2 linked regions of the Caenorhabditis elegans genome follow. The protein of the gene in region 1 purifies or fractionates together with the protein of each later gene. This does not show direct contact. Each region holds a gene or a part of one and is shown on either strand. Other genes may lie near its edges. The genes, in order: T26C12.1 and cox-4.

Region 1 (7,303 bases):
TCCCCGCATTTTTTGTAGGTCAAACCGTAATGGGTCAGCCTGACACCATGTCCGGGTTCCCAGCCTCCTTCAATTTCAACAATGAAGCAATGGTCGTGCACCTTGTGCACTCCTATATGAGAAAAGGAGGAAGTTTTACCCGATAATTTTGTGATTCCGAAATCAACCATTTTAGATTCTAGCTGCGTAAATCGACACTCGATCGGTTTTCTCTCGTATCAGTATTCTTGGCAATCAACACTTTTGCGCAAATTACACGGGTGACAACAATTGACAGCTGCAGAATGAGGACACCATCCCGCCGGGAACAATATCTTTCTCTTCTCTCATCTCTCCGCTCATTTTGAACATTTTTCTTCGTGTGTGTGTGTGTGTGTGTGTATGTATACGTATACGACAAGTCGTATTCCGCGAGATTCGTAGCTGTATTCCTTCGATACACTACATATTTTTGTTCTCTCCGGCAATCTTTTTTTTTCTCGACGAATTATTATGTCATGCTGTCAAGCGTTCAGAAGAGCAAAAATGAAACTCATCAGCTTGTTTTTTGAAAGGTGTATAAAGTGTGTGTGATGCAATTAGAAGGGTATTCAGCAGGTCTTAGACACCTTAGACATAGAGCTATGGAATTTGAAAGAAGACCTTTTATATAGGAGATTCATACAAAAAGTTAGGTTCTAGAGAAGCAATGTGAACTGGAAGCGCATTTTTGAATACTTCTCAGGCCCGTTTCAAGCCACGCGATATCAGATTGTCTCATTTCGGCTTGATCTACGTAGATCTACAAATAAGGCGGGAGCAGAGTTCTCAACTGATTTCACATGGTTAAGAGTTACATTTTTTGGGCAAAAAATTCCCGCATTTTTTTGTAGATCAAACCGTAATGGGACCACGTGTCAAGCTTCTAAGACGAAAAGTTTGATAAAAGAGAAATAAAAAAGTTTGGAAAACTGTGCTAGAATGAGAAAAGTTGCTGAAATGATGAAAAAGCGCGAGGAGCTGGTGATTAGTCATCGATGTATGAAACCAGAATAAAAAATGAAACGATCGCTTTTCTCCCCCCCCCCCCCCCTTCCAGTTCAACCATCATTTTCTCAAAAAAAAAAATTTTCCCTTCCCCCCATTTTTTACGGAATCATCCATTGTTCAATTGACACACCCCTGCCGGGAGACACGAGCGGACCTATTGATACGATGCTCTATTTGACCAGTTGAAATTGGAAAATGTTTGAAACGGGAGAATTTTTTGCGAACAAAAATGTATATATGTTTTTGAACTAAGATTCTTTGGAATACCTGGCACTCATATATTGGGGTGGCAAACTAGATACGTAGGCATAGCGTAGGCACATAGGTAGGCCGCCACGTAGGCACAACTGCAAACGGCAGACATGTAGATAGTCAGGCAGGCATGTAGGCAGGCAGTAGCGACGGCAGACGTATATAGCTACATGCTTACGCCTACCTACTTGCATGTCTTACGGTCTCATGCCTACGTTGTTAGGACATGCCTGCTATCCTTACCTACTTAGGCATCCATGTGCGCACAGTGTAGGCACAAAGTTAGGCAGACATACAGGCGTAGGCATGCGATACGAACGTGGGTAGGCATGTGGGCATGCTGTATTTAAACAGAAATATCGACAGGCGTAGAAAGCTACTCATACCTATTTGCATACTCGTCAAATCATGGCTGCCTACGTGCGTACCTACGCGCCTACCTTAGCTTTTCGTGGCAGTCCATCTCCACTGCTACATCATGCCCTCTTGCCTACCAATGTGCCACGTAGGCAGAAAGGTGTGTAGGCAGGTAAAGAGGCTAGCGACTTTGTGCCTACATAAAACCTGGTTGCCTACCCACGTGCCTATCCGCCTATCTATCTGTAGCAGAGGCTACACCTACCTATTTTCATACAGGTTCGCTGATTCGGACTTTACCCTTCGCCCCTTATCACACCATTCTATCAAAGAATACCTCGGACAACAGAGTCTATTCTTTTTTGATCATGCATCTATATTTTCTCCATTTTTTCTCTTTTTTTTTTCTTATCACCGCCATCGCTCACCCACCAGCATACAACATATCACAAATAAAACACTTGCCGCTTTTGCAAACTTTTTGTTCTTCTACATAATAACTTATTGTTAATTCATATTTCATTTCATTTAATTGATGTTAATATTCAGCCGGGTAAACCATGGTACTATTCCTCATAATCGCTGCCATCATCATTGGCCTTCTTCTCTGGAAATGGCTAGATGTCCGGAGCACCGATGAGCTCACGAGCATGGTGAAGCTTCTTGGCAGCGGAAACGGGCAACATGTGTTGTCAAATGCGTTCCAGGTGAAAATAAAATAAATTTCAGCACAGCCCGTTTTCCAGTAATTTCGTCCAGAAATATGTGAAAATGATTTTTCTAGCAACTTTTGAGTTATCGAGGAAGTCTCTGTTGTGCTTGAGACAGGTGAAGAACCACCTTTGAATTATTAAGATCGCGTAGGACATAAAGCCATGATTTCATTTCGGAGTCTCTGAAAATCACATAAATAGATGTCAAAATTAAATGTTAAACGGTGAAATCTTTTTTTTTTCAGGTGGACGAAAAGTCGAAACGCCACGGAGGGGAGCTCGTGGCTTCTGTGCTCAAGGCTCACGATGTCGAAGAAATCTTTGTGCTCTGTGGAGGTCACATTTCGCCGATTCTTGTCGCCGCCGAGAAGCTCGGAATCAAGATTGTCGATACTAGACATGAGGTACAGGAATTGGCCGAAAAAACGAGAGAGAGAGAAATGAGCGTGCAAAACGCGCTCTATTGAGAAAAATGTGCATTTTGAAATAAAAATGCAATCGCGCTCCAAAGCCACGAGAACGGGGTTCTGTCCTTCCTCATTGAATTTTTCGCGCTCCATTGGCTGCCGGAAAACGCGTGGGGAAGTGTCGTGTACTCCACACGGACAAATACATTTAGTTTTACAACTAAAATCGAGCCGTGACGCGACACGCAACGCGCCGTAAATCTACCCCAGATATGGCCGAGCCAAAATGGCCTAGTTCGCCAAACTCTTCCATTTCAATTTATGAGGGAAGCCACGTGGTGTCAGGATGTCTCTTTGCGATTTGATCTACAAAAAATGCGGGAATTTTTCCCCAGAAAAATTTGACTTCGGCACGCTCTTAACCATGCGAAATCAGTTGAAAAGTCTGCGTCTCTTCTCCGCGCATTTCTCGGAGATCAAACCAAAATGAGGCACTTTGACACCACGTGGGAAGCCAGAAATCCGTGCTCCCACAGTTGGGTCTCGTTAGGTATTAGCGGCAAAACCGTAAATTCAAATGTTTCAATTGGTTTAGCTAATATTTTTCGCCTTAAAAAAATATCGTTGTTTTTAATGATTTTTACGTCGAATTGATATGTAGAAAATTCATGTAAAGTTGATTTGTTTATAAATTTCGGCATAAAAATCAATAAAAACAACGGAAACATGCGAAAATATCTTGTAGCGAAAACTACAGTAGTTCTTTAAATGGCTACTGTAGCGCTTGTGTCGATTTACGAGCTCGATTTTTGAAATGAATAAAAAATAAAAAATTGTTTAAATCAATCGACACCAGTGCTACCGTAGTCATTTAAAGAATTACTGTAGTTTTCGCCTCGAGATATTTTGCGCGTAAAATATGTTGCGCAATACGCCGACTCAGAATTTTGTGTTCACGTAATAGCGAGACCCAACGTTTGGAGGCGGACCGTTTTCAAATAGCCGTGGAGCGCGTTTGCACCTTCATTTCAAAAAAATGCAACAATATTTCCATTTTCCAGGTCACCGCAGTCTTTGCCGCCGACGCAGTCGCTCGTCTTCGTCAATCAATTGGAGTGGCCGCAGTCACCGCTGGACCGGGACTCACCAACACCATCACAGCCGTCAAGAATGCCCAAATGGCCGAGAGCCCATTGTTGCTCATCGGAGGAGCCGCACCAACCCTACTGAAGGGTAGAGGTGCTCTTCAGGACATTGATCAAATGGTCCTCTTCCGTCCACTCTGTAAATATGTGGCCCGTGTCGAACGTCTCCGCGACATTGTTCCAACTGTTCGCGAGGCTATCAAGGCCGCCAAATCCGGATGCCCAGGACCAGTGTTCGTCGAGTTTCCAGTTGATGTTCTCTATCCGTATGAGCTTGTTGTCAAGGAGATTGGCTTCAATCCAAATGCCAAGGGATTCATCCAACGGGCGCTCAACTTCTATCTCCGTTGCCACGTGTCTCGTCAATTCGGAAACGCATGGGCTCCACAGACGATCACTCCACTCCCAACGAACATTCCAATGCCGAAAAGTGAAAAAATCCAGGAAATCGTTCAACTCGTCAAGTCGGCGAAACGCCCGGTTCTTCTCATTGGAAGCCAGGCAACACTGCCTCCAGTTAAGCCGGCTGACCTCGTTAAAGCCGTCGAAGCTCTCGGCTGCCCAGTCTTCCTCGGTGGAATGGCTCGTGGTCTTCTTGGCAAAGATCATCCACTTCAGATGCGTCAAGTGAGAAGAGATGCGCTTAAAGACGCGGACTTGACCATTTTGGCTGGAACAGTTTGCGATTTCCGTTTGAGCTATGGCCGAACTCTGTCGAAGAAGTCGAAAATTGTAGCACTCAATAGAAATTCCAGTCAGCTTACGAAAAACGAGAAGGCTTTCTGGAATTCGGATGTTTCTGTTCAAGCCGACGTGGCGACATCACTGGTCCAAGTGGCCAATGCTCTTGGAGCCAATCACACTACTACGCCTACAGAATGGGTGAAATCGCTGAGAGAAAAGGACGATGAGAAGGAGTCGGCGAATGCAAAGAAAATGGAGCAAAAGCTCACGAATGGCTTCTTGAATCCGCTGAATTTCCTGAGAACTCTCGATCAATCACTTCCCGACGATGCGATCCTTGTGGCCGATGGAGGTGACTTTGTCGGTTCGGCTGCCTACATTGTTCGCCCACGAGGACCACTTCAATGGCTCGATCCTGGAGCATTCGGAACACTTGGAGTCGGTGGAGGTTTTGCTCTTGGAGCCAAGACTGTCTATCCGAAGCGTCCGGTGTACATTATTTGGGGAGACGGATCCTGCGGATATTCGTTGATGGAATATGACACTTTTGCTAGACACAAGTGAGTTTTATAGCTGGAAAAAAACTCGATTTTGTTTAAACTCCCCCCAAAATGAATAACTGTGACCAATCAGCGATTCGCTCCGCCCACTTTCCAACCAATCAGACGAAGTGGTGGGCGGAGTTTGAAGTCGTTTATTGCTCGGAGCTCTTATTTTGGTAGGAATTCGCGTTTTTAAACGATTTTTTTTCCGTTTTTCTGAATTTTTTAAAATCGATTTTTTTTTCCAGATTGCCAGTTATCGGAATTGTTGGAAATGACGCGTGCTGGACACAAATCGCCAGAGAACAAGTGCCAATGTTCCAGAGCTCTGTGGCTGTTGATTTGGCTGTAAGTCTTCGAATTTGCTTTAAAAAATCGAAAAAAAAATCGAAATTTTGAAAATGGAAAAAAATCGATTTTTTCAAAAATTTTCTTTTAAGAATTGAATTTCTTAAAAACTTCGATTGTACGAAAAACACAATTTTTTAAAGAAAATTGAAAAAAAAAATAAATATTTAATTTTTCGAAAAATTCGATCAAAAAAAAATTAAAAATTCGATTTATTTTTAATTGAAAAAAACACAAACCTAAAATTATCAAAAAAAATTTTTTTTGAAAAATTTGAAATTTTTCGAGAAAAAAAACCAATTTTTAATTTTTGAAATCAGAAACTTAAACAAAAAAACGGAAAATATCGATTTTTTAATATTCAAAAATTATTACGAGAACTCAAAATACTGAGATTGCGTATTGCACAACATATGTGACGCGCAAAATATCTCGTAGCGAAAACTACAGTAATTTTTTAAATTACTACTGTAGCGCTGGTGTCGATTTACGGGCTCCATTTTTGAAATTAATTTATTTTCGAATAGCGGCAGCGATATGCCATTTTCTTAATTTTTTTAATTTTCCATCGATAAATGGTATAATTCAAATTTATTGCGCAAATAGAGCCCGTAAATCGACACAAGCGCTACAGTAGTCATTCAAAGAATTACTGTAGTTTTCGCTACGAGATATTTTGCGCGTCAAATATGTTGCACAATACGCATTATCAGAATTTTGTGTTCCCGTATAATAAATGTTTTTGTCATTTCTCTACTGGACAACGAAAATTACAACAAAAAAGTCTTCTCCACGAGGAGTACACGAGCTGCGTAAATCGACAAGTTGATGTTTTTTCAAAGTCAACAAATCTTTTTTTTTTTGGAAATTTTCCAATTTTTTTGGAATTAAAAAAAAATCCCCAAATTTGCAGAGAACTCGCTACGACAACGTCGCCAAATCACTCGGATCCTGGGGAGAGACCATCGATGAATCGAACGCCGATTCGGCTCGAAAGATCCTTGATGAAGCTCTCGCTGTCTGCCGATCAGGAGAACAATCGGCTCTCGTTAATGTGCTCATTGGAAAGACTGATTTCAGAGAGGGATCAATTTCTGTGTAGCTGTGCCGCCGAATTTTTTCTCTTTTTTTTTGCGCTCAATGATCCTCGTTTATGTCCCAAACTCATCATTCCTCCTTTGAAATATGTTTTTTTTTCCGATTTTTCTCTCTTTCTTTTTGTTTTTCATATATAAATGTACGGTTTTCTAGTTTTTTTTACTCAATAAATCTGGTTGCGTTAGCAATTCCAAATATCAGTCTCAGACTTCAACACGAAAAAACGTTTTTCAGCCTAGAAACAAAAAATCATAGCAGCACAATTCAACCTGAATCTGAACACTTGAAATGGGAATCTGAAATTATTTGAATTCAGTTTTTTTTTTCGACTTCGAGGTCCAAAAACTTGCGTTGAGTAATTTTAGCAATGACAAAGGTTTAGTGTCCGAGAGGAGTCCACCATTCGTGGTTGCGTTAGGGCGAGTTTGGATAATCTCATTTTTAAATTTAATATAAACTGTGGAATTATTTTTTTTGTCTTTTATTCGCTGAAATGTAGGAGTTAGCTCATTTTGGCTCAGCCAGGGTAGAATTACGGAAGAAAAAAAAATTATTATTCGATTTTTTCGGAAATTGCTGCCAGGTATTCGTTGCGGTTTGCAATGTGATATTGGAGAGCGGCGACGAAGTTTCGAGTAATATGAAGAGCGTGCTCATCCACTGAAATTTATTGATTTTTTTCAATATAAAATGAGCAAATATGTTAGATTTAAAGCTCCTATAGGTAC
Region 2 (3,341 bases), on another chromosome or scaffold:
TGAAACTTGTCGGCCCCTCGGCCATGGCCTAGAAACCACTTTTCCTCGTCCCTCGTGAGGAAAAAGTTGCAGTGTTGGGGTAAAAAACTACGCTGAGCTCGATTTTCAGCTTTTTTGGGGTCTAAAAGCTGCTCTAAAAGCCTAAAAGCCTTAGTTTTAGCTAAAAATCCCAAATATTGTACCTTCAGAGCCCACAACATAATCCATATTCTCAGGATTCCGTCCACATTGCCCAAAATTATTATCACCAATCGCAAAAACGCCCAAATTGGTTCGAATCAGCGAGTGCGCTCTACCGGACGAAATCTCGAGAATTTCGTCGCCGGGAATATTGATTTTCTTTGCGGATATATAATAATCCTGATATTTGTTGATATTCGTCAATTGGCCACCGATCTGGAAGCTAAATTCGTGATTTTTGAGGGTTTTTTGGTATTTTTTACAATTATTAGGGAAAAAAAATCAATAAAAACAGCTGTTTTTTTTTTGATTTTTCGCTGAAAAATCGATTTTTTAGAGCACTTTTTCGTAAAAAAATGGCTTTTTTTTGGCGAAAAACATGAAATTTCTCAAATTTTTCAGAAAAATTGTTTAAAATAGGTAGATTTTTAAATTTTGAGAATTTTCTGTGAGAAATTAGAAAAAAAGGGTTTTGGGAAGAAATTATCGAATTTTCGTTGTTTTTTCTCGGAAAAGTCGGGATTTTTGAGGATTTTCAGTGAAAAACTGCTAAAAATCTGCTTTTTGAAGCTTTTTGGCAACGTTTTATCGATTTTTCGGAAAAATAATGAGAAACCCCCTAATTTTTGTATTTTTATTCAATTTTTCAATGAAAAATCGTATTTTTTCCAATTTTTTTGGGAAAACTCATTTAAAAACGCAATAAAACTGATTTTTTCGATTTTTTTCCAGTTTCTTGAGTTTTTTAATCGATTTTTCAGATTCTTCCGCTCATCTTGACAAATTTAAAGCCCTTTTTCAGAAAAATCCAGCGTTTTTCAGAGTTTTTGGGCCAAAATCGCCAATTTATCGATTTTTCCAGAGAATTTCCTGCGAAAATCCCACCGATTATTAATTCCAGCACCGTAGAGGCGATTTTTCGACGCAAAAAGCGAAAATCCAAAGCCTGAGCTTATAAATTTTTTTATAAAAAGTTTTTCTCAATTTTTCACCCAAAAGATTCAAAAAGCAAGAGCGCTCTATTGGACTCAATTGGCTGCGTACTTGAACGCGTGTAAAACGTTGATTACTCAGTCAACACGATTTACGGAGTGAACAGCCCGCAACGGCGAGCCGTTGTTACATTGCCAATTTATTGATTTTTCTGGAGATTTTGCCAAGTTTTATGCAAAAATTAAAAGGAACCACATATTTCCATCGTTTGTTCGTATTCCGGCTAGTTTAATCCTTAAAACACGAAGAGAGAACGGTTTTTGATTATTAATATATTGCACCCGTGTGTTCTGTTGTTTGTTCGTTTCTGACTAAAACTATCCTCTTCCACGTTTCCATCGGTGTTTTCCGTCGGCCACTTTAGAAATTACTTTAGAAATTCATTTTTATTATGAAAATAGTTCATTTGAGTATGTTTTTTTCATTTCTCCACACTGACGCCGGATTTACCTTTTGTTTTTTGGTTTTTCCTGCATTTTCAACCCATAAACCAGTTATTTATTTCAGGTATGTTGGCTCGTCAAATGATGCTGCCACGTTTGGCTCTCCGCGCAGTGCACACCACCGCCCGTCTGTCCGGAGGACAGGAATTCTACTGGGGACCCGATAAGGCCGCTGGACGCGAGCTCGTCGGATACGGAGCAAATGGAGATAACGTACGCCTTGTTTATTTTATAAATTTTAAATTTAATTAATTTATTTTTCAGATCTACCAAGATCGTCTCGACTACTGGTATCCAGCTATTCGATTCCGCAAGGAGGACAGTGTGATTGCCCCAATTCGCGCCAAGGAGCAAGCCGACTGGAAGAACTTGTCTGCTGAGGAGAAGAAGCTCTGTTAGTATTCAATTTTCCTCGACAAACTTGAAAATGTTGCTAAGTTTTCAGTGTACCGCTACAGCTTCCGTCAAACGCTGTCCGAATTCGAGGCTCCAACCGGATACTGGAAGGTGATCTCCGCCGTTATCCTCTCCGTGCTCGGACTTTGCACCTATTATGCTGTTCTTCTCAACGTCTGCGTGTACCCAGAACTGCCGCCAACCTTCCAGAACGAGTACAAGGAGGCTCAGGTTGAGCGTGCGCTTGTGCTCGAGAAGGGACAATTCCTCGGTGCACCGACACACTACGATTACGAGAACAAGAAGTGGAAGTAAAATATAGAGATTCAGCAGAAATAAAATAAAATTTTTTTGTAGCTTCTTTCTCGTTTTTATAATTCTCTCTTGGTTGTCGTCGCTCCCCCCGCCCCATCACTCTCTCGTCAAACATTCAAGCTTACCTTCTTCTTCATCGCCCCAACCCTCATCTGAAACCTAGATAAGCTGTAAATCTCTCCTAGCGGTCGAACGCACTGACCAATTCTTTCGTCTCCCCCAATTTTTTCTTCAAATTTTCCAAGTGGTTCGGCTTCTTGAGAGATGGGCTGCCCTGTAAACCAGAAATAAATAGATTGAATGTTGCTGTTAAATCCAGGAGGCAATAATTTATTTATTTCTTTACAAAAGTGAAATTTTAGTTTGACACTCGGAGATAGCGGGTAGTAGCGAGGAAAATGGTTCGGGTTGGGGAGAATCTGATTTAAATTGTGACATTTTCAGGATTTTCGTCATTAAGTGATCCGATTTTTGCGATGCGTCCGATTCGTTTCCATCGGTTTCTGGAAGTTGAGCAGTTGAAATTGTGGAAGCACTTTTCGATAGACTGGATGGCTTCCCAACTCGCTTGATCTTCCCGAACAGTGCACCCATCGCAGCCATCGATTTTCTATGAACCGACATTTGAGGGATCTGAAACTTCTAATTCTAGATTTTGAAAATCTCAAGCCACCCAAACCGTAATCTTTGCCACCGGAACAACTGAACCTTCAGCGCCAGTCAGCATATTCCTGCCAACCTGAATCTGCTCAGCGACCGACGAAATATACTCATTGGCTTCTTCCAAGGATTTCAGACGGATTGCAGTATTATTAAATAACCGAACAGTAGATGGCCTCCAAATGAATACACCTTCGAGAGTTTCCAGTCGAGCACATTGTCGATTATTTCCAGATGTTCCTGTTTGAATAGTATTGATATCTTCCAGCGCAACGATTTGCACATCAGTCATCTTTTCTCCATCGATTTCATAGGTTACAATATACAAATTGGAGCGGGTTAATATGACGACTG

Evidence for each region.
Region 2: the proteins of T26C12.1 (region 1) and cox-4 fractionate together in Caenorhabditis elegans (co-fractionation; one large-scale study listed by BioGRID). This does not show direct contact.

What each region holds. Positions count from the first base shown.
Region 1 is NC_003282.8:3,256,723-3,264,025, forward strand, and holds T26C12.1 (2-hydroxyacyl-CoA lyase 2), read left to right. Parts: upstream 1-2,187; 5' UTR 2,188-2,198; coding exon 2,199-2,345; intron 2,346-2,596; coding exon 2,597-2,755; intron 2,756-3,819; coding exon 3,820-5,147; intron 5,148-5,377; coding exon 5,378-5,477; intron 5,478-6,390; coding exon 6,391-6,579; 3' UTR 6,580-6,771; downstream 6,772-7,303. Other genes in the region: T26C12.2 (DUF2085 domain-containing protein), read right to left, coding at 7,129-7,235. UniProt on the Caenorhabditis elegans protein: Endoplasmic reticulum 2-OH acyl-CoA lyase involved in the cleavage (C1 removal) reaction in the fatty acid alpha-oxydation in a thiamine pyrophosphate (TPP)-dependent manner.
Region 2 is NC_003279.8:13,657,468-13,660,808, reverse strand, and holds cox-4 (Cytochrome c oxidase subunit 4), read left to right. Parts: upstream 1-1,680; 5' UTR 1,681-1,697; coding exon 1,698-1,829; intron 1,830-1,880; coding exon 1,881-2,010; intron 2,011-2,061; coding exon 2,062-2,327; 3' UTR 2,328-2,638; downstream 2,639-3,341. Other genes in the region: sac-2 (SAC domain-containing protein), read right to left, coding at 2,670-2,960, 3,007-3,341.